2 linked regions of the Rhinolophus ferrumequinum genome follow. The protein of the gene in region 1 purifies or fractionates together with the protein of each later gene. This does not show direct contact. Links are inferred from orthologs where the notes say so. Each region holds a gene or a part of one and is shown on either strand. Other genes may lie near its edges.

The links.
Region 2: the proteins of DBN1 (region 1) and HOMER3 purify together in Homo sapiens (co-immunoprecipitation; 3 studies listed by BioGRID and IntAct, counting the BioPlex papers as one, with this or other methods). This does not show direct contact. The link is inferred for Rhinolophus ferrumequinum from reciprocal best matches to the Homo sapiens genes DBN1 and HOMER3.

Annotation. Positions count from the first base shown.
Region 1 is NC_046307.1:5,149,310-5,159,910, reverse strand, and holds the start of DBN1 (drebrin), read right to left. Parts: upstream 4,421-10,601; 5' UTR 4,257-4,420; coding exon 4,171-4,256; intron 3,591-4,170; exon of another isoform or gene 3,534-3,590; coding exon of another isoform or gene 3,526-3,533; intron 1-3,525. UniProt on the Homo sapiens protein: Actin cytoskeleton-organizing protein that plays a role in the formation of cell projections. Required for actin polymerization at immunological synapses (IS) and for the recruitment of the chemokine receptor CXCR4 to IS.
Region 2 is NC_046301.1:51,531,918-51,542,699, reverse strand, and holds the start of HOMER3 (homer protein homolog 3), read left to right. Parts: upstream 1-6,024; 5' UTR 6,025-6,225; intron 6,226-6,307; exon of another isoform or gene 6,308-6,732; intron 6,733-7,151; exon of another isoform or gene 7,152-7,340; intron 7,341-8,991; 5' UTR 8,992-9,059; coding exon 9,060-9,073; intron 9,074-9,152; coding exon 9,153-9,309; intron 9,310-9,553; coding exon 9,554-9,685; intron 9,686-10,756; coding exon 10,757-10,782. UniProt on the Homo sapiens protein: Postsynaptic density scaffolding protein. Binds and cross-links cytoplasmic regions of GRM1, GRM5, ITPR1, DNM3, RYR1, RYR2, SHANK1 and SHANK3.

The sequences.
Region 1 (10,601 bases):
CACTGCCCATGTGTCGTGTCCTCAGAGCCCTGGCCCTGGCAGCCTACAATCCAGCAAGCGGGTGTGAGATGGAGATTCCAAGGCAACGGTTCCTTGGTTACTGTTCCCTGGCTACCACGTTCCTCATCCCCATTGGCTGTTGCCAGGAACCTACCTGGCGCTGCCTCAGTACCCACTGCCCCTCCCCACCACAGCAAGGGAGGGGGAGGAGAGAACCTGGTGCTCACTCTGCTCAGGGCATCCCCTGGTAACCATGGCAACTCAGCAACTGGCACATGACTGGCCCATCCCAACCTCAATCTCCTGAACACAAAGGACCCCAGGGATCCGCCCTGGGTCTCAATCTCCTCCTCTCTGAAATGGGGATGAGGTCACCCACTCACTCTTGCCCAGACTCTGGCCCCTGGGTGACCACACACTTCTGGCCTTCTAGCTCCTAAGCCACCTCTGTCCTAGCTGAGGCCCTGGCCTCCTGGGACTGCTGGCCTTTCCTTCTGCCTTAGCATCACCAGAAAACTGACCTAGGAGCCTTCCTCCTCCCTAGATTTTTTTCTCGCCAGGCAGCAGTGGCACAGCATCCATTTCACAGATGGGAAGGCAGAGATGTCTGCTCCCAAGGACCCCCTAGGAGGACAGACCTGGAGCAAGAAAGAAGGGCCCTGTTGAGGAGGCTCCAGAGGGCTCAGCCCCTTCCCCAAGCTTCCCTTTTCCTACTGCCAAGGCAGGAGGCTGGGGGCTTAGAGGAGGGCAGGTGGGAGCACAAAGGAGATGGAGAAGAGAAAGGGACGGAGGGAGTCAGAGAGAGGAGAAAGGAAGAGAAGAGAAAGGAGGAAAGTGAAGGTATGATGAGGAAATGAAGGAGGGAGGGAGAGAGGGAAGGAGGGAGGGAAGAGGGAGGACACACACACACACACTTTCCAGGACCCCTCCCTCCGGAAAGGGACACAGGTGGGCTGTGAGGCCCAGAGCTCCTGCTCCAACTGTCGCCTGGGCCCCAGTGCTGGCAGCTGCTTCCCAGCACAGCTGTCCCACCACCTGTCCGGCTGCCCTAACCCGTCACTGGGAACAAAGGGCCCTCAGAGAAGCAAAGTCTGCCCCTTCCCATTCCAAAAATGAGAAACTGAGGCAGAACTCTGAGACCCTGGTTCCCAGACACACACACCTCCCAGGGGTGACTATTAGCCTCCCAGAAGTTCTGAGTGCCCTTGCTACACATGTACTGCCCCTTCCATCCTCAACTCTTGCCTGCCCACTTCCAGCCACCTTTCAGCTCCAGCCACTGACCTGACAGAAACCATAGCTAAGTTCAAAGCCTTCAGCAGGCCTTCAACCCTGAGCCCCACCTGCCTGCCTTTCCAGCTAGACCTTCTGTGTCCACACCACACACTGGGGTCACACTAGACGGCTCGCGGATGCCAAACACAGTTCTGGGTATTTCCCACCCTCGAGCCTTTGCATATGTGATTCCTGTCACAAAAAGACCAGACCAGTTTCTCTACCACATGCCCACCCCTGGCAGAAATCCCTCGGGGCCCCAATGCCAGCTCCCTAGGAAGCTGTGCCCTGTCCTGAGGTGCACCTCCTCAGGCATTATCACACCCCAGCAGGGATGGAAAAAGGCATCTAAGCCTGCCGCAGATCTCACTGAACAAGTGCTTCTCAAATACCGCAGAGCCGGCTTTGGCCTGGGCCTGGACAGTGGGAGCTGGTGAAACCGCAGGAAGTCAGAGTGGGGGGAACCAGGAATCTACATGTCTCACCAGCTCTAAGCCCTGGAGACAGACACTGCCTCAGACCTAAGCTTCGCGGAGGCAGGATGTCTGACTCAGTCAATCAACATACTTCACTCTCTGGGTCCAGGGTCCAGCCCACAGTGGCACCAGTAGGTACCTGAGATACTGGCACTAACACTGAAAAACCATCTAGGCCAGAGAAACTGGACTGAGGTGAGTTGGGAGCTGGAGCTCCAAGGAGATGCTGGAGTCAGCTAACGTGGGAGGCTGAGGGCAGGTGGACCCCTCAGGACAATCACACTCTCAGGATGTCAGAGCCAGATGGGCCCTGGAGGTCCCGATATGGTTGAGTCTCCTTGTTTTCAAGAACACGAGAAGAGCAGGCACTTGTGTGTGGTCACATAGTGAGTCTGTCACATCCAGGGCAACACTGGCTCTTCCCACTACACAACCTAACTTCCTGGGGTCCCCTGCTCCCACCTGGACAGTGGTCCATTTCAGATGCCCTGCCACAGGAGTGACCACTCCCCTCCTGCTCCCCAGCCCCACTCAGAGGCAAGATAAGGGAGGGCAATGATAAGCCTCCTTTGCTCAGGCAGCAATTTTACCCAAGACATCCTCCTCTAGACTTAGTGTCGGGTCTGTGCCTGAGTCCTGAGACCCCACTGCACCCCTGGCTCGGAGCTGGCAGCAGGACATGATCCTCACACCCTTTTTACAAAATGCTACCTAGGCCACTGAGAGTGAATACGTGTGTGCATGTGCGAGGCTGTGTGAATCTGTGTGTGCCTCACACACACCCAGATGGGGTGACGCACGCCAGTGATGAATAACTCACTCTGGCCACATGGATGCTGCTGCGTGGTGGGAGCCCAGCCCTCTGCTGAGGAGGACGTGGGCCAGCAGTGGTTGTGTGGACCCGCACTGGGCCTCCAGAGCTCTGCTTTTGGGGGGTTAGGCCCGATGGGGTGGTGATAGACAGTATCCCCAGACTGAGGGTGAGGGGGGCATTCTATGATGGACCCTGCCCCTCTTCAGGCAGGGCCCATCGGGTCTCGAGGCCAGCTCCTCCACTAGGCCAAGGCAGCCACTTGCCCTGGACTTCTCCCATGATCTCAGCCCCCAGGGGCAGGGCTGGGACAATGGGTGGGCCGCCTGCCCACTTCGCCTGTGCTGGCCTCTCCTGTGACTGACCTGCAGGACATGAGCTTGTCTCCCGCGTCCATCCCTCCAGGACTGGCTGCCCGCCAGTGCTGCAGTACCGTGGCATGGACACCTCACCACTTGTCCCCTCCTCCAGCCCCCAGGTCAGTGTCCCTTCCCAAATGCCTTCCCAGGGTGAGGGTAAGGCCAGCTCAAGTGAGGTCCCTCAGGCCTGCCCTCACACTGTACCTCAGTTTCCTGCCTGCCAAGGGGAGAAGAGGCCTGGGAACAGAATGGGTACCTGCCCCAAGAGAAGAGTCTTTTGGGGGGATGATTCCTGAATGGGGCAGTGTGGAACCCCTTGGCTTTCCTACCACCCTGGGGACACCAGCCTCAGAGCAGGTGGTCCACCCCTCCCAGAGCTTGGGGAGACAACAGCTGGGGAGGGGGAAGAGGGCAGCCCAGCTCCTCCCCCACCAGGAAGCCGAGAGCCCCTTGCCACTGTGCGATGAGGCTGGGGGCTCAGTGGATCTACTCAGCCCTCATCCCTCTCTAGGGGCTCCCTCCACGCGTGTGCGCCTGAGGGCTTCCTCCCAGGGTCCCCAGCTGGCCCCCTTGGCATCTCCCAGCCCAGCTGCCCAGTACCTACAATCCCATTTATCTCCGTCTCCTCCACGACCACTGAGAGGAACAGGAGTCACTGCACGGTTGCCATGTGCAATGAACGTCTTTCCATCACACCCCAACTCCGAGAGGCCCCCCCGGTGGGCGGGGCGCCTCGGCCCCCAGCCCGCTCTGCTCCTCCCCCGCCCTAGCGTTCCTTTGTGCTGTGGCCGGCCGGCGGGGCTGGGCCAGGCAGGCTGAGCTGGCTCCGCTAGCTGGGTCCCCGCCCCGTCACCGCCCGGTCCGCGCCCGCTAGAAGGTAGCGAAGGTGCCCTTGGCCGCCCGGTGCACACCTGTCCCCTGAGCCCCGGCGGGGGAGAGGACGGGGGATGGGCTCCTGCAGGACCATGTGGCCCCGGGCCACACGTCCAGATCCTGCGTCTCTCCGACCCGCGTCTGGCCACCGCTCATACCGCGCGCCTGGGCCGGCCTCGGGGCGCAGCACCCCGCCCGGCCCCTCCCCGGCGCGCACAAAGGCAGCCCCTCCCGGCCCTCCCAGGCCGCTCCACCATTTCGGGGTCGCCCCCTCCCTTCCCTGCAGCCGTGCGGCGGGCCGGGTGGAAACAAAGGCGCGGCGGCGGCGGCGGCGGCGCGGGGACAAAGGGGCCGGGGGGCGGGGGCGGGGGCTCACCAGTCCGCCGCGCTCTCCTCCCGGATCACCTCCTCGTACGCCGCCAGCAGCTCCAGGCGGTGGCCGCTGAAGCTGACGCCGGCCATACTGCGGGCCGGACCCAGGCCGAACGGACAGACGCACGGACGGACGGACAGAAGAGGGAGGGAACGAGGGAGTCACCGCCGCCGCCGCCTCGGAGCCTCTGCAGCGTTGAGAGCCGAGCGAGCCAGCGGCCGGGGGAGGGGAGCCGGCCGGCGGGGGGCGGGGGGCGCTGGCTCCGCCCGGCTCGTCCCTCCGCGCTCGGTCCTAGCGCCGCCCGGGCCCAGCCCAGGGGGAGGCCAGCCCCCCCTTCCCGGCCTGCCCCAGGCGCCCCCCGCCCCTCACCCACCGCCTCTGCGTCCGCACCCGGGCCAACCTGCCCCTCCTCTCCCGAGGCCCATCGCACCCGCGTCCCAAACCCTCACCGTGTTCCCAGCCTAAGGTACTCACCCTCTTCCCCAGCTCCAACCATCCCCGTCCCCAGCTGATTCTTCTCCTAATCAGCTCCCAGTCCCAATCCCAAATCCACTTCATTCCAATCCGGCCCAGTCCCATTTGGTGCTTAATTATCTCCATCCTGGTCTCACCCCCATCCCTGATCCATCCAAACCCCCAGTCCCAACCCAATTCACAGATCAGCCACCCCTGGCCCATCTGCCGCCCAGCCTCACCTCGGAAAGGCCCATTCAGTCCATCCTACCACTGTCCACTGCCATCTCTTTCCCAGCCCCAGTTCCAGCCCCATTCCCAACTCTATGCTTAGCATGCACCCCCATTCCCCACACCCCATCCTTAGATGCACCCTCCTCAGTCCAGCCTATCCTGTCCTCATTCTGATCCGAGTAACCAACCGCACCTCTACATCCCTGCCTCCTTGACCATCCCCAGCCCCAACCAAGCTCATTACCACAGTATCGCCAGCCTCTTCCACCACCCCTAGGCTGAGCCCCCCTTCTTTACCAGCAGCCTCCTGGCCCCTCTCAGATGGGGTCAGCCCAGGAACTCCTTTGCCTTGACTGGCAAGCCTCAGGCATCGTAGAGGATCCCAAGTGGACTTCCTTCAAGTAGTAGCATCTAACTGTAGACTCAGGGAAGGGTTCCTCCAGGACCAGCCTCCTGGCACTTTTTTCCCCCAAAGCTCTGAGCACAGAAAGCACTAGGGCCTCAGAGGAGTCCCCTGCAGGAGAGTGGGCACCACTGCCAGCACCTCCAGAAACACGTCTGCTCCTTGCTGAGGTGGGACCCTGAAACTCTCCCCAGCTCTCAGAAGCCTTTCGCACCACCTACAAAGCCACCCCCATCTTCCCAGGGAGGTGATGGAACCTGAGCTAACTACCTAGTCTAATCTGGGAGACGGTTCAGCTGGGCCTCTGAGTTCTGAGTTGGCCACAGGAGGAGGAGAGTAGCGTGTGCGTTGATCTCCAGCAGTGGTTCCCAGCGCTTTGGAGTAAGAAAACCCTCTTAAAACTCAAAAGCGTTCACAGACCCCTGCCTGTGCCCACTATGCCCATGGACCCCTGGCCCTAGCAGTTTCTCCACAGCCCCCACTTGGAGCAAGGCCCAGGCAAGGTCACTAGGATTCTGGGGTGGGAGGAAATCCCATGACAGGGCTGAAGGGGAGATCTTGGGTCTCAGCCCCTTCCTGCTTCCTTTGACTTGTCCCAGCTCAGAATTCCTCCCACCTTCCCCTCCCTGGCCCCCTTCCCAGCCTCCTGCTTGCTCGATTTCACATCCACAACACAGAAGCCCACATGCATGCTCTCCCTCAAATTCCTGCCTCTTTCCAGCCACGCCCTCTTTACCATCTATATTTTTATATAAGCTCATTTTAGAATAGTTTTAGATTCATAGAAAAATTACAAAGATGGTACAGAGAGGCCTTGTAAGTGGAACCAAGAGGGTCGCCTGCTTGGCTGCCCTGGAGCCCAGCCCTTCTGGTCTTCTCACCCTTCTCCCTCCACATCTTCATCCTGTAATTTGTATATCTGTAATCTGTCTCCCCCTGTCTCCGTTGTTCTTGGAATTGCTCTGGCCAAGGTCACTAGTGACCCCTAAATTGCCAAATTCGATGGTCCTGTCTTAGTCCTGTTTCTTCGACCTGTGGGAGTGGGGTGACCATTGATCACTACCTCCTCTGTGACCCTGCCTCCTTTTAGCCCTGAAAGCCACACACCCCACTTTGGTGGGTGGGTGCTGGGTGCTTACTTGGCGGTCCTCCCACCAGGACTTGGTGTCTATTACTCTCAGCACTGAACACCTTTTAAGCCACTAACACAGTGGTCTCCCCACCCCCAGAGAGTGAGCCTCCACAACACCCTGGGAGGCTGGTCCAGTGGTTTCTGGGTCCCCAGAGTGCAAAAGTCAACAAAGAGGGAGAATTCAGTTCTGAAGCTGGTCACTTGCTGTGTGACCTGGGCTAAAATGCTTTCCTTCTCTGAGTTTCCTCTTTGATAACATGTTGTGAGTGACTGGATGGAAGCTTGGAAAATAAGAACCCCTCCCTTCCTTTTCACAGCCTGGCCCTCCTCCCCCCCACACCCACCTTCCTATTCTGTGCTCCCCACACATCTCAGGGAAGGCTTCGAGGATGACACATTGGCCTCAGGACTATTTTTTAGCACAGGCTGGTGGAGCCTTCTCTGCCCTCACCCTGACTCTGCAAGTTCATACCAAGCACACCTTCAAAAATGCCCCCTCATCCTTGCAGGTGTGGGCCCTGGCACTGGGCCGGCCACTTTCCCACAGAAGCTCTGCTCCTCACAAGCCAATTGCTGCCCAGATCTTGCTAATCCACGGACCTTGCTAACCGTGTGACCTTAGACTCACTCCTTGAACTTCTTTGTCTTACTCGTTTCCAGCTACAAAATGGGGATGATGATGATGGTACCTACCTCATAGGGTCTGTTTGAGGATGTTAAAACAGTATCTAGAAAGTGCTTAAAATGGCAACTGCACATAGCAGATGCCATTGAGATGTGGGCTGTTATCACTATTTTACAGATAGGAAAGCTGAGGCTCAGAGAGGAGCAGTGAGGCCCCGAGGCACACAGTTGGTGAGTAGCAAGTCTGGATGGGAACCCAGGACTGTCCCACATCACGTCAGTCTACCACCTATTCTCCCACTTCCCCTTCTAGCACCCCCATTTCCACATGTAGGGGCTAGCCTGGCCTGCAATTTAGTCAGAGGTAGTTCCTCAGGTTACAGCTGTAGGGTCTAAGGAAAAGTCCGGGTGCAGGAGTCCTGGGCATGGAGGAAAAGTGCCCAGTGCAGTGGCTGTCCATGGTCAGGCATCCCTGTTATGTAAAACTTCCCAGGCCTGAGAGACTGAAGAAAAAGGCTGACAACTCCAGCATTATATCAAGAGTTTATTAAGAGAGCTTACATAAGAGGCACATCTTGGGCGATGGCACTGAGGTGACAGGGATGTCCTCCAGGCCACGTGGCAGGCACAAAGGGTTATATAGGACAGGACTGGATGGATGGGGCACCGGGGTGTGACCTGCCCAGATAATGGGAAAATGCTTCCCATGCTTGGGGGGCGGGGTGTGCAGCGACCTGTTCCAGGAAGGAGCAGGAGGTGGGACACATGGGAGGGGACCATGGGACAGTCTCTGAGGGGATTTATGGGAAGCAGTCTGTTCTGGCCCGGATCTTGTTGGATCTAGCTCGAGGGTCTCTCCTCCATAAGCCCTACCCTTGTCTTCCGGCTGATTTTTCCACTACAGGCTCCAGAGGGGAGCCTGTGTTCCAGGCCCACCGGTCAGACCCAGTGACTGCTTCAGGGATGGACACATGACCCAAGTCAGCCCAATGGGCAGCAGCCCTGGGACTTTTGCTGGAATCATTGAGAAAGCCTCTACTGGGGCTGCTGAGCTGGCAGGATGTGGGTCTGGAGCTGGTTGAGGGGTGTCTCCCCAATAATGGGGAGAGCCGCCTGAGAATACAGCCAGCACTTAGGAAAGCAGTGCCCAGAGATGGAGACAGCAGACAGACTGCTGGTAACACCCAGAGTACCTGGTCCCACCAGATCTGAAGCCGTTAACCTCAGTTAAATGAGATAAATTCTCCCTGTTTCTGCTAAACTAGTTACACTTGCACTGAAAGAGTCCTTCTTCATCTACCTAGTAGCGGTCATTTTTATCAGTGGCAAGGGAAATGGGTGAAAGCTGAGCTGACCTAGTCCCCCAGGCTGAGCAGGAGACCCAGGCCCATCCCGGGGCGCTCCCTGACCACTCTGTAGCTACCCCACTGCATGATCTCCCCGGGGTGGCCTGACTTCCTGAGTCCTCCCCAGGCTCCCAGCGAGCTTCTTCTTGTCCTACCAGGGCCCCTGGAACCCTACCTCCCCGTTATGCCCCAGCTGGGGAGGAGCCCTACTTCCACTCTTGGTTGGCTTTGGACTCAGGCCCACTCAGTCCTCCCGGCTGCTCCCTGCTTGTATGGGGCTGGCCTCAGCTGCCTTCCCATAGCAGGGCTGCATGGAAGGGTCCACAGGGTGGTGTGTACCTTGTATGTGTTCCAAGGCCACGCAGGGCCTGGCACTGAGGAGGCAGCAACAGAATCATCAGTTCCTGCCTGTTCTCTGTACTCAGTTCCTCTCCCTCTACCGCCTCTCTCCCTGCTGACTTTGAATGAGCTCTAGCTGCTCTGAGCTGGAAAAAGCCCCTCTTACACACTGCCTCTCCAGTTCCCACTCAGCCCCCTGCCATGGGCTCTGCCCCTTTAGCTGGGGAGGCTGCACTCTCCAAGGGCGCTAATGGCTTCCCCTACCTGACACAAGGACATTTCCCAGTCGCCACGGCTTCCACCCACACAGCCTCGCACCCCAGCTTTGGAACACTGTGATCCCTGCAGCTCTGTGATGGGGGAGCAGCCAGGAGGCGCAGTGGGGAGCACTGCAGCCTTGAAGCAGCAGACCCAGGCCACTCTGGCTGGGTGGCTCTGGCCAGGTCACTTTCTCTTTGAGCCCCAGGTCCCTCATCTGAAATATGCACTTAATGACATCTCTGTTAAGTGTGTTTCCATGATTAAATGACATATACTCTTTAAGTGATTGCTCTGTGGGTCCCAGCAGAGGCAGCCGTTCGGAGCAGGTACCCCGTGCTTGTTTTTACTTCCATCCACGTGAGCACCTCTTTCCTGAGGTTTAGTCCCCAGCTCTCTGCTCTCCATCCTCCTTTCCCCTTACATCCACCCTTCTACTGTTTCCCTGAAAATAAGACCTAGCCGGACCATCAGCTCTAATGCGTCTTTTGGAGCAAATATTAATATAAGGCCCAGTCTTAATTTTAGGGTCTTATAGTAAAATTAAGACTGGGCCTTATATTAATATTTGCTCCAAAAGACGCATTAGAGCTGATGGTCTGGCTGTCCTATTTTTTGGGAAACACGGTATGAGCTTCCCCTTCTTCACCCACCTTCCCTTGGCAGACACCTCCCAGTTTCCTCCCGTCACCCTTCTGGGCGCACAGGTGTAGGGCTGCTAGTGGTCCTCCGGCCACCACAGCCCAGCCTCCTCCGAGCTGTCTGCACTCTCTTGTCTACACTCTCCTTCTACATCCTCACCACCTCCCCCTTGTTCCTCTAACTCTGGCAGCGGCCCCAACTCTCTGCTAAACTGATCTGGCAAATATCACCTTGTTGCGAAATGCCATGGGGACTCCTCGGCCTTATCTGCCTGGTTGACACTGTTGGCAGGTTCTGGAAACACTCTGGCTGAGCCGGCTGCCCCGCCCGACCACCTGGCCCCCAGTTCTCTGGCTGTCCTTGCCCTCTGGCAGCTCCTGCTTTCTCTGCCCAGTACTGAGATGTTGGTGCTTCCTGGACTACCTCTTCATCTTGGGGCCCCAGCTGTGCTCACACTGGATTTGACCTGTTTATTCTTTTTTAAATAGAATTTTAAAATCTGACTTAGTTGCCAACATTAAAAAACCAGACTTCACATGAAAGTCTGAATCTGCGGACAATGTCGATAAACTGGCAGATCTGGCCACAGCTCGGCATTCCCGTGTGGCAGCCCTTGGCTGAGGCTGAGGGCGGCTGCCCTGGGAAGGTGGGGGAAGCCTTCCCCACAACTCCCATCATCCGCCCTTGTGATCTTGTTCCCTTTTATCTATGGAAACCCAGCGTGGACCGAGGGCTTCACGGTTCAAGAGAAGTGGGAGAGAGTACATTTTTTGTGGAAGTGAAAGACACTGTTTAATATGCCAGGGATATCTAGGCTGAAAGAAAAACACACTCCACCTGCTTTCCTCCTGGGGTGACCTGCCTGGGCCAGCTCCCCAGCTTTCCCTGGGCATCAACTACAAGCAGCTGTGATGACTGCCCCCCACTTGTCCCACACTCTCCAGAACTGAATCCAAGGTGAACCCAGACTTCAATCTTCAGCTGCTCCCTGAATTTGGTTGAG
Region 2 (10,782 bases), on another chromosome or scaffold:
CTGATGATGAAATCTTTCAACACAAGAGGGCAGACTGGTATTGATCAGTGTGGAAAGTGGGCCTCCACTGAGAAGTCGTGGGTATTGTATGATTGCATTGTGGCTGAGAAGAGAAAAAAGAAAAAAAATCTAATGAAATAGACCATCATGTTAGTAACAGTGATTTCTGGGCATTTGTTTTATTTTTAAAATTTCATTCACTTGGCAGATATTTATGGAGCACCTGGTGTGTGTCAGCCCACGCCCACCAAAGGCAGGGATGGCGTCTGAATTTTGTTTGTATCCTGCTCCAGTGTGTTTTTTTTTTTTAATTTTTTAAATTGGGGAATATTGGGAAACAGTGTGTTTTTCTGGGACCCATCAGCTCCAAGTCAAGTCGTTGTTTTCAGTCTTGTGGAGGGTGCACTCACTGGCCCATCGTGGGTCATCTTGGGAATCGAACTGGCAACCTTGGTGTTATGAGCGCTGTGCTGTAACCAACTGAGTCAACCGGCCACCCCTCCAGTGTGTTTTAAATTACCAGTGAACACCAAGCACATTTTAAGTTCATAATTAAAATGCACTCAGGAAATTAAATGCTATTTACATTATGCTTGTCTGTGTTTCTTAAAACGTTTTACACTGAGCACGTGTTACTTTGGCAGTCAGAAGAGAAAACACATAAAGCTGATCCTGTTAGAAAATGTATGCCACGGCTCCTTCTGGCCTCTCACCAAGAATGAGGTTGATATGGCCCAGCTCCTGGGATCTACTCACCAGCCCATCAGCCACTCAACACACTTGCCACTGTTTCAGGAGGTGGGAGGGTCCCCGCAGGTCCCTCTCCTCTTGGCACGCCCCCCTCTCAGATTCAGTTTCCCCAGTTGTAGAAGGTGACCGGCAAAGCTCCCAGCAGGGCCAGCTTCTGAGTTTAACGCTCTGATGTCACTGTCTTAAAGTTCTGAATAATTTTCTGAATTTGCTGTTTGCGCAGGGTCCTGCTAATCAGGCAGGTGATGCTGCCCTGTTGGATCCATCGACAAGCACTCATCCTGTGCCTGGCTGTGATTCCCCACCCGGAAATCATGTGGCCACCGCTCTCAGGCCTCCCAGACAGAATAGGACAGGACAGGACTCGAATGCAGACCCCTGAATGCAGCCTGTATATAGTGTCTCCCCTGTGTATGCAGCCAGTGCATAATGTGTGACCCTTTCTCTTTCCCTCAGTGGTCCTCCTCCCCCAGCCTGGGGGACAGGAGGCTCTTCTGTGACCTCCCTTGGGGCTGCAGGATCCATACTCAGGGAAGCAGATGTTTCCGTCCTGTTGGAGGCCTGGAATTTCAGAGATAAGAGGGCTTCAGAGGGGGGAGAGAGAGGGAAAGAGAGAGAGAAAGAGAGAGAGAGGGAGAGAGAGAGAGAGAGAGAGAGAGGAGAAAGAAGGGCCAGATAGAACAGAAAGGGGGTTATTGAGACAGACTCCCTCCCCAAGGCCCTGGGAGTGATATGAACTCAGAGCCTGTGGCCAACCCCAAAGATACAATAATAGGGCTGATAACCGTCATTTGTTATCAAGCACAACCCAGGATACCCTCTGCCTCCAGATAACAGAGGAAGAAAGTCTTAGGATCACCCTTCTCAGTCCATCTACCATGTGGCACTCTGGTGAAACTTATCCAGCACATGTAAAAACAGATCCTGACCTTCTCCTGCTCAAAAGCCTTTCATGGCTCCCCAGGGCTCTGAGTATAAAGTCCACACTCTGCTGGGGCCCAAAAGGCTCCTTGCCCACCAGGCTCCTCACTATCCCCCCAAGTCAACCTGTTCCGGCCACACCTGCGTCCTCAATGCTTCTCCAAGGGGCAGAGCACATTCCCACGTCAGGGCCTTTGCACATGCTGTTCCCCTTCTCTGAGCAGCCTTCACCAACTACGGGTCTTTGCTTGTTGCTTTGTCTGTTTTTCTCTACTTTGCATAAACTGTCGGAAGTCAACCTACTTGTTCCTCTGTTAATCATCTGTCTATGCACCAGATAGCTGTGCACTCCCTCAGGGCAGGGCCTCCCAGAGTGTTGGGACACAGGAGGTGCTCAATAAACATGAGTTAACAGATAAGGAACCACCATCTTACAGAGAAGGAAATAGAGGCCCAGGGAGGCCCCCAATGTGTCCATGGAGACAGGCTCTCCCACCCTGGGTGTCTAAGCCCAGACTGTATCAAGTCCACCTGCAGGCAGGTGATGCCTCCTCCCCTACCAGTGTGTAAATAAGGCTCCAAAGGCTGCAGGGAGCAGGGCTTGGCTCTCAGACCCAGTTTAAAGCCAAGCTTTCCACTTGGCCAGTTTTGATTTGGAGAATTGGTTTAAGGCCCCTGAGCCTCAGTTTTCTCTTCTATAAAAATGAAGTTAGAGGTCGGGCCCATGGGGTCCTGTGTTAGGCGAGCACAGCAGGGGTCCTCCCCAGTGTCCCCTTTGTGGCCTCCCACACTGGGCGATGATGGGGCCCTGAGAGGCCTTGGCCTGAGCCTGGATTCTGAGAAGCCCTGATCTGAGGTGGGGGCAGAGATAGCCCCCTCCTATGAGGTCAGGGTTGGAGGAGTAGAGGGAGTCTGGGAAGGCTTCCTGGAGGAGGGAGTGTTGGAGATGAATGCAGAGGTTCAGATGTGGGGTCCAGCAGTGTAGCCAATGGTGATAGGGAGCTGGATTCTCCCTTTGAAGCCTCCAGGAGAGCCATGAAAGGTGCAGGAGCAGGAAAGTGAGCAGTGCAGCCAGTTAAAGGGATCCTGGGAGGCAGAGGGAGGGCTCGTTTGGGGGCGTCCCAGAGAGGTGAATCCTGACTTCAGTCTGTGCCTGGAGACCAGGAATGGCCTCCCCTAGCAGATCAAGGGAAGAGGCTGCCACATGTGAGTCACCCAGTTCCTGCAAGAACATTCAGCACCCGTCGGCCCCGCGTAGGCTGTCACCAAGCAGGAACACAGCCCCCGGAGCCCCTCCTCTCCGCCTTCCCTGAGGCCTCCCGCTCTCTGTTCCCACAGCTGTTCCTTCAAGGCCGCAGAAGGAGAGTAGGAGGACAGGGCAAGCAAAGGAGAGCCCATGTAGACTGCTTGGCCAGAATTTGGGAGTTTGGGGGGAGGAGAGCTTCCCTGGCTGAGGGTCCAGTGTGCGCGCTGGGGCTGTCTAAGCCTCAGGACTCTACCCAAGATGGGGAAACTGAGGCTCAGGGAGGTTCTGCGCCCATTTTCCACATATATAGACACCTGGTTCTCTCCTAAAAGCTAAAAACCAGCTTGGAGCCTGCATTGTAAATCTGATCACGTCTCTCCCTCTCTGGCTCCCAACTCTCCCATGGCTCCCAAGTACCCTTGGAATAAATCCAACACACTTTATCATAGCCCATGAGGCCCCACCTGGCCTGTGACCCCCTCAACCCTCAGAATCCCCTACTCTCCTCTCACTCTGGCCACCTGGCTTCCCCACTGTTCCTCCAATGCACCCAGCCCATCTCCACCCCAGGGCCTTGGTACATGCTGTGCCCTCTGCCCAGAGCACACTGTGTGAGTTATTATCCCCATTTGATCCCTCAGGAAAGATGCAAAGAGAGGACGTCATGTGCTCAGAAACACACAGCAAGTCAGTGGTGCTTGGTGTTCCCAGCCAGGCCCATCTGACCAGCCCTCCACAGCAAGCCCTCTCCCCCCGATGGTGCCACGATTAAAACAGGCCTCCAGACCAGTCCACCTCAGAGCTGATTCTCAGCCCCTCCAGGTCTTGCCACCTCCAGCTATGTGCCAAAGACCCTCAGGCCTCAGGCCAAAACCCCTGCTCAGGGAGCTCCTGGGCCAACCCGACCCACACATCTCCCAGTGTCCCTCCTGTCGTGGCCGCAATTTCTTCGCCCCACTTTCTGCCCTTCACGCTGGTGGATGGCAGAGCCTTCAAGGACGGCATAGCCAAAAATAATCGGTCCCGACCTACCTCCCAAAAGTGGAGCAGCCCCCGCCCAGCCACCTGGCACCACAGAGGTAATTAGTGCACGTGGCAATGAGGGTAATTAGGTCTGTGGGATCCAGGTTTGGAGTTGGGAGGGGGCACAAGTGCTGCCACTTCCCACCCCTGACCTGCCCAGGTCCTGGGAGCTCAAGTTCATAACCCAGGGCTGGACCCCTTCCCTCCTCAAGCACCTGTGTGCCTGGGCCTGAGCCAGCGGGCTCCATTATTTCCTGGGGGCTGTTTAATGAATTAACCTTAGCTTTGGGCAGAAGTTGAGTTAGATATAAAATAAGGCAGAGTTACTATCACCAATATCGAGTCATCAAACTCTCCTCTGCCATAACCCCCATGCATCCACCCAATGCCAGGAGACGCCAAGCTAAAGGGAAGCCTCAGCCCAGCTCTTGAGGTGCCTCAGGGTAGCGGAGTCAGAGTTAGACACAGACACCGGCAGCCCCTTGGGGTCAGAGTTGGGCCAGAAGGAGGGAAAGTGTTGGGGAAAATCTAGGGGAAGAGGAGGGAGGGCTTCTCACAGAAAAGAACACTGGAGGTGGGGTGTTGAGGGACGATTAGGAGTTTTCCCAGAGGATTAGTTCTGGTAGCTGGCTCAACTGGACATGGCTGGGGGAATGGGGAGAAGGAAGAGGAGGATGGCTGGAGGGGCACATAAGGGACCCAGAGCTAAATATTTAGAGGATATCACACCAGGTTGGACCAATTTTGTCCCCAAGAGCTTACACCTGGTTGGAATCCTTCACCCTCTAACAGAGAAAATCTTAAGAACTTTGCTCAGGATCAAAACCACATGCCCAGACAGCCAAGAATAAATATAATGTTTATAACAGTGAGCATTAATTAAGCTCCTAGGATCATGCCCTCTTCATACAAGGACTTGGGTCCTTACAGGAAACCTCAGAAGTGGGCACCATTCTTATGCACATTTATAGGTGGGGAAACTAGGACACAGAGAGGGAAAGTGGCTTCTTTAAAGTCACACTTCTGGTAAGAGGCAGGGCTGGGAGTCACTTTCTGGCTCCTGTGACTCTGGAGACCACCAAAGACCAATGTTGGGATCTAGCGATCCCTTCCTTCTGGAAGCATTTACAGAGGATCTCCTGCAGGTCAGGCTTGCTCTAGGTGCTGGGCAGAGCTGTGAAAGAGGTGGATGGTAACCAAATCATGCCACAACAGATATAGGTAGCCACTGTGACTCATGTCCTGTAGCTGGGCATGTCCCTTTGGAGAAGAGTGACAGACTTCCCCTCTTCTGGTGGGACAGGAACCCTCCAGAGAGGACAGAAGATTTAGCTTTAGTACAAAGGTTGGGTCACAATAAATAGAGGCCATAAGCGCCACTCTGCAAACTGCTTCCCTAGAGCCCAACAAGCCATTCTAGTCCTCGCTTGGTGCCTCCTATGACAGGTTGTTCATTCTCTCATGTCCTTCCTTAGTCCCAAGGGAAAGCTGTTACTTCTAGTCAGCCACTCTGGGGTGGTGCTTCTGCCCACCCTGCAAGGATAGACCCAAGGAGAAGTGGGCTCAGGCTGGGGTAAGGGTGGCAGCTCAGGGAAGCCCCCTACCCATCTATACCCAAGAGAGAGTGAGGAGCTGCTGGTGTCACCTGGATCCTCACTGCTTCCTCCCCAACCCCAGGCCAATGCTCATCAGCCCATTCTCCAGGTGAGAAAACAGGTCTGTACTGACAAAGCCATTCCCTCAGTTTGGACTTGACTAAGACAACTTCAGGTCAGGGTTGCTCAAGGCCAGCAGCATCCCAGCCCCTCCTGGAGCCTGAGAGGGGTGTCCAGGAAAGGATTCAACTCCCCACTCTCTCTCATGCTGTTGCCTTCTGCCCACACAAGGAGGAAAGCTGGCCTGGGCCCTTCGCCTGCCTCCCCCTTGAATGGCCACGTGGCCCCAGTTCTGTAGCCGGCTGGCACTCAGCACACCCTAAGCAGCTTCCAGAAGACTCGGCCCTGCAGGCACCTTTCCAGTTACTTTATTATTATTTCTTTGGTAATAAGGAAAAGTCACTTTTGCACAGAACAGACGGTATTCTCTTTGTTCCCCACAGTGTTCAAGCATTTTGTGGCTTCAGGCCTGAGAGCGAAGCCAAATCTTTTGCTCGTACAGATGCCTTGTGAAGTTAGAAGCAGCCTGGGAAACTGAGTCTGTGCCTCTTTCCCCAGTAAGGCTGGGGGTCCAAGATGGGCTGGCCCTCCAGGAGCTCCCAGACCTGGCCGCACTGAACTAATAAACAGGTAACACACATCAGTTATCCGACAGAAAGGGAAAGGAGAGTGGGGCAGGGCAGAGCAAGATCGCTTCCAAGCCCAGGATGGTCAGAGAAGCTTCCAGGAGGAGAGGGGCGGGGAGCTGAGCCTCGAAGGACCAGGCAGAATATATGCCTGTCAGAAGGGCATTCCAGGTAGAGGAAACAGCTTGGGCAAAGGCCTGGAGGGAGGAAACTCAGGTTTTGGCCTGGGACTAAGTCTCTAGAATTCATCTAAAGGTAATTTGAAAGTAGCTACCAGTTTAGATGTGTGATTCTTGTCAGGCAAACAGAAATAAAAGAAGAGGGAAAGGAGATGTGACAGACCAAAAGCAAAACTTCTCAGGTTGTCAGAAAGCTCAGAGCGTCAGGGAACTGTGAGCCTCGGGCAAGGCCTCCTTGCCTCTGCCCACCGCCAAACGGCACTGTGCAACTTGGAGGCAAGCTCAGGCCTGGGGAGGTGATCGCAGCTCAGCCCCCTGAGGACCTGCTTCTGGTAAGTGTATGAAGGGCGGGCTCCCTCTGACCAGAAGCGGCAATCCAGGCCTGCGGAACTCCACCAGACTCACCATTCGGTGGGAACTGGACCCCGACCATCCCTAAGCCCTAGATTCAGGGATCCTATAACACACCAACGATCACCATCCCCTACGGTTGTTGGCATTGCCACAGTTGTCTTGTTACATTGTTGTAGTTCTCCGTCTGTCTATCTCCTGTGTCTCTACCTCCCCCCGCCCCGTCTCGGTCTCTGGGTCCCCCACCCCAGTCCCCTTCCCCGCCCTTACCCCCAATCCCACCCCTCTCCCCATTCCTATGGGCTCCCCCACCCCCAGCACCGTGGAGGGCCGGTAGAGGGCGCTGCGGGAGGCCTCGGGGCCCGGGGAGGCGGGGCGGGCGGCGGCCGCGTCGGGACCGACCGCGATGGGACCGGAGGCGGCGCGGGCGGCGGCGGCGGCGCAGACAAAGGCGCGGGCGGCACGGAGGGCGGCGCGGAGGGCGCGAGCCCCGGAGCCATCGAGAGAGCCGGGCGCCCGGTGCGGGGAGTTAGCACCGCTGGCCGCACCCGACTCCGCCCGGACGCTCACGGGGCGCCCAGCAGGCAGGGTGAGCCCGGCCGGCCGAGCTTGCGTCGGGGCGCGCGGGCCCCGAAATTCCAGGGCCGGGGAAGGGCGCCAGTGTCCCCGAAGTCCCGGACACGGAGGATGGGGGCAGCCGGAGGAATCCCGAAGTTCCAGGTCTTGCGGGGGCGCAGGGGCCCCTAAGTTCCGGAGCTCGGGTCGGGGAGGGGACAGTGCGAAGGATTCCCAAAGTTCCGCGCTCGGCGTCGCAGGAATGTGTCTCCCGAAGTTCCAGACCTGGGGCGGGGGTCGGCGCAAGGGTACCCCGAATTCTAGACCTGGAGATAGAAGTGTGGCAGGGGGTCCCCAAAGTTCAGGAATTGGGGGCGGTGCGGACGATCCCCGAAGTTCTGGACCTTGGGGTGGAGGAGGCAGATAATGGTCCCCGAAGTTCTGGTCCTGGAGTCGGGGGCGTCGCAGGGATCTCGGAAGTTCCAGGGTCGAAGGCCTCACTAACCGAAGTACTGGGCGCCCCGCTCCTGACGCGGGTGGGGACTCAATCCTGACTATCAGGCCCCCGACTGGGACGCGTGGGGTGGGGCTTCGCTCCCACAGGCAATTGGGGATTCCGGGCACCCGGCGGTTGGGCCCCCTCCCGGAGCCCCACCGCCGGCGGCGTCCGAGGCACATGACTAGTTGGTGAGTAACTTTCCCCAAATGCGCAAGTCTCTGCAGGAGAGTCCTGGCCTTAAGGGCGTGAGTTCTGGGACCCCTGCGCGCCGCGGAGCCCCTGCCAGACCCAGGACCCGCCCCCAACCCCGGCCAGAGTTGCCGCCCCTCCCCCACCAGGGGCTCCGGTTTCAGACCCTGTGACCAGGACAGCAGCTGCCCAGGAAGGGGGGGGACGTCCCCCTCTGACCACGGAGGCCACTTGGCCGTGCATCCCTTCCTCCAATGTGTCCCCCCTTCTCCTAGGTCCCTCCTGGATCCCCTGCAGATATCCTGGATGCAAGTTTGTGGGCGCGGGAGGGTCAGGAAGTCTCCCTGGGCAGCTGTTCCCGGCTTTGGTGGGAGTGGGGTGGCTAGAGGAACCAGCAGAGACTAGGCAGACCATCTCCCAATCCTGGGTCCCGCCCAACCCCCATGGTATTGGGAGTGAGTGCTGATGGTGGTCTGGCAGTGGGCACCTGTGATTGGTCCTGTTTGGCTACATCTTGTCTTTTTAACTAGGATGGGGTTCCCTGAAGATTTGGACTTTGACCCTAAGTCTGTGCCTGGGGCCTAGAGTGGAAGTGGAGGGGTCCCTCTGTGGGGCTTGTGGGAACTGGTTTCCCAGTAGGCACTTGGTGATGCCTCACTTTTTGCTGGAGGCCCTGGTTTGGGGAGTGATGGGTGAATGTGTGGGGAAATACTGAGCGGGAGCTGGCCTTGGCCTTCAGGACAATGAGAGATGGATGCTGAGATGTCAGGGGCCACCTGGCTCCTCTCAGAGAGCCATCTCCTGCCCAGAGTGTGGTAGGGGCTTCTCTGGGTGGAGAAAGTCAAGGTCTTCTTGCTCTGAGTGACCTACTGATTCCCTCACCTTTTTGATTGAAGTTCTGTGAACGGTGCACCTCGTGTTGGGTCCTGAGGTTGGACCTGCTTGGCCTCACTCAGCGTGTCCTGGTGGGACACTGACAAGCCCCTTCTCCCCCCAGAGGCCGAACCAGCAGCTCCTGCCACTCCTCTGGCTGCCCCTTGGAGCTCACCCAGCCCAGCTTGACCAATGTCCACAGCCAGGTGAGCCCCTGTCTCTACCGGCTTGGCCCTGAGCCCCTGGAGGTGCCCAGCCCCCACTGAGAGCCCTCTCCCCACGCAGGGAGCAGCCCATCTTCAGCACACGGGCACACGTGTTCCAGATTGACCCAGCCACCAAGCGGAACTGGATCCCCGCTGGCAAGCACGCACTCACTGTCTCCTACTTCTACGATGCCACCCGCAATGTCTACCGAATCATCAGCATCGGGGGTGCCAAGGTCCTGGCGGGGCCTGGGTGGGGCAGCAGGGGACAGGGGTCCCAGCAATAGGCCTGGGTCTGCTTGTTGCTGTGTGGCTACGGGCAGAGGGAGTAGGGAGCCCTGACCCTTTCTGAGCCTCAGTCTCCCTCCTGAAACGGCTCAGACCAGAGCCTCCGAGGCACTAATACAAAGTGGTCCTCCAAGGTCTGACGTTCATTATTAGCAGTCCCGTTAACCTTGAACTTTGCTCCCCTCTCCCCAGGCCATTATCAACAGCACTGTCACTCCCAACATGACCTTTACCAAAACCTCCCAGAAGTTCGGGCAGTGGGCAGACAGTCGCGCCAACACTGTCTATGGCCTTGGCTTTGCTTCTGAGCAGCACCTGACCCAGGTGGGTCTCGGGGGTGTGAGGTAGGAGGGAGAGGGCTGGGTGTGGGTCTTCTGGATGCACTGGGGCCCCTGGGCAGGTGCTGGGATTGCACCTTCCCAGCTGCAGAATTAGACAAGCCAGAAGCCCCGTCCTGGTTCCCTGGTTTACATCCCAGCTCTGCAGGCCACCTGCAACCGATTTCAGGCACACCCTGCCCCTCTCTGGGTCCCTGGGCTGGGTACTTCCCCACACACCCTGGCAGTACATCATCATTTCCTTCCACCCTCTGCTGTCTCTAAACTTCAGTATTGTTTTATCCATTGTTTTTCTGGATAGTTAGTGCCCTGAGTCCTGCCGAAGGCATGACAATTTTCTTCTAGAAGCTTTTGTTTTCCTTTCACATTTAGGTCGTGAATTTATTTCTGTGGGTGGTGTAAGGTAGGAGTATTTTTTGCAGTTGAATGAATATGCAGTTGCTCTTGGGCCATTTTTGAAAAGACCATTTGCCCAGTGAATTGCACTGCCCCTTTGCACAAATCAAGTGGCTGTATATCTGTAAATATTTTCTTTAAAACATTATTTTCAAAGTAAGGAAATTTATTTTAAAATGAAAAAAAAAAAAAGTGTATCCTACCCTAACTGGAAAGCTGGTATGGGCAGTAAACATTAATACAACAAAAATGAGAACAGGGCAATCATTTTCTCACTGGCTAGAGCTCTGAGCACAAAACCTGTTTTCTGTTTGTCATACAAGGATATTTACACGTGTCCCAGGCATTAAAGACAGACTAGCACCTATCTGAGGCTCAGCTTGCTGAAATAAGCCTCAGTGAGAGGAAAATGGGGATCCCTTTTTGAGAGGGCTCCCTACTCCATGAACATCCCATTTTTACCCTCAAACTGACTGCTCATTGGGGCATCATTTTCCAAACCTTCTTCCCACTCTTTCAGTTCCTGAGACGAGGGGATGCACACAGTTCCTAAAGTCCCTTCCTAAGTGACGGGGCTGACACTGGGTGGGGGTGACATGGTGGGGCCTTGGGGGAGGGACCAGGGGTTTGTTAACTATCTGTTCCTGCCCCGCCACCCTAGTTTGCTGAGAAGTTCCAGGAAGTGAA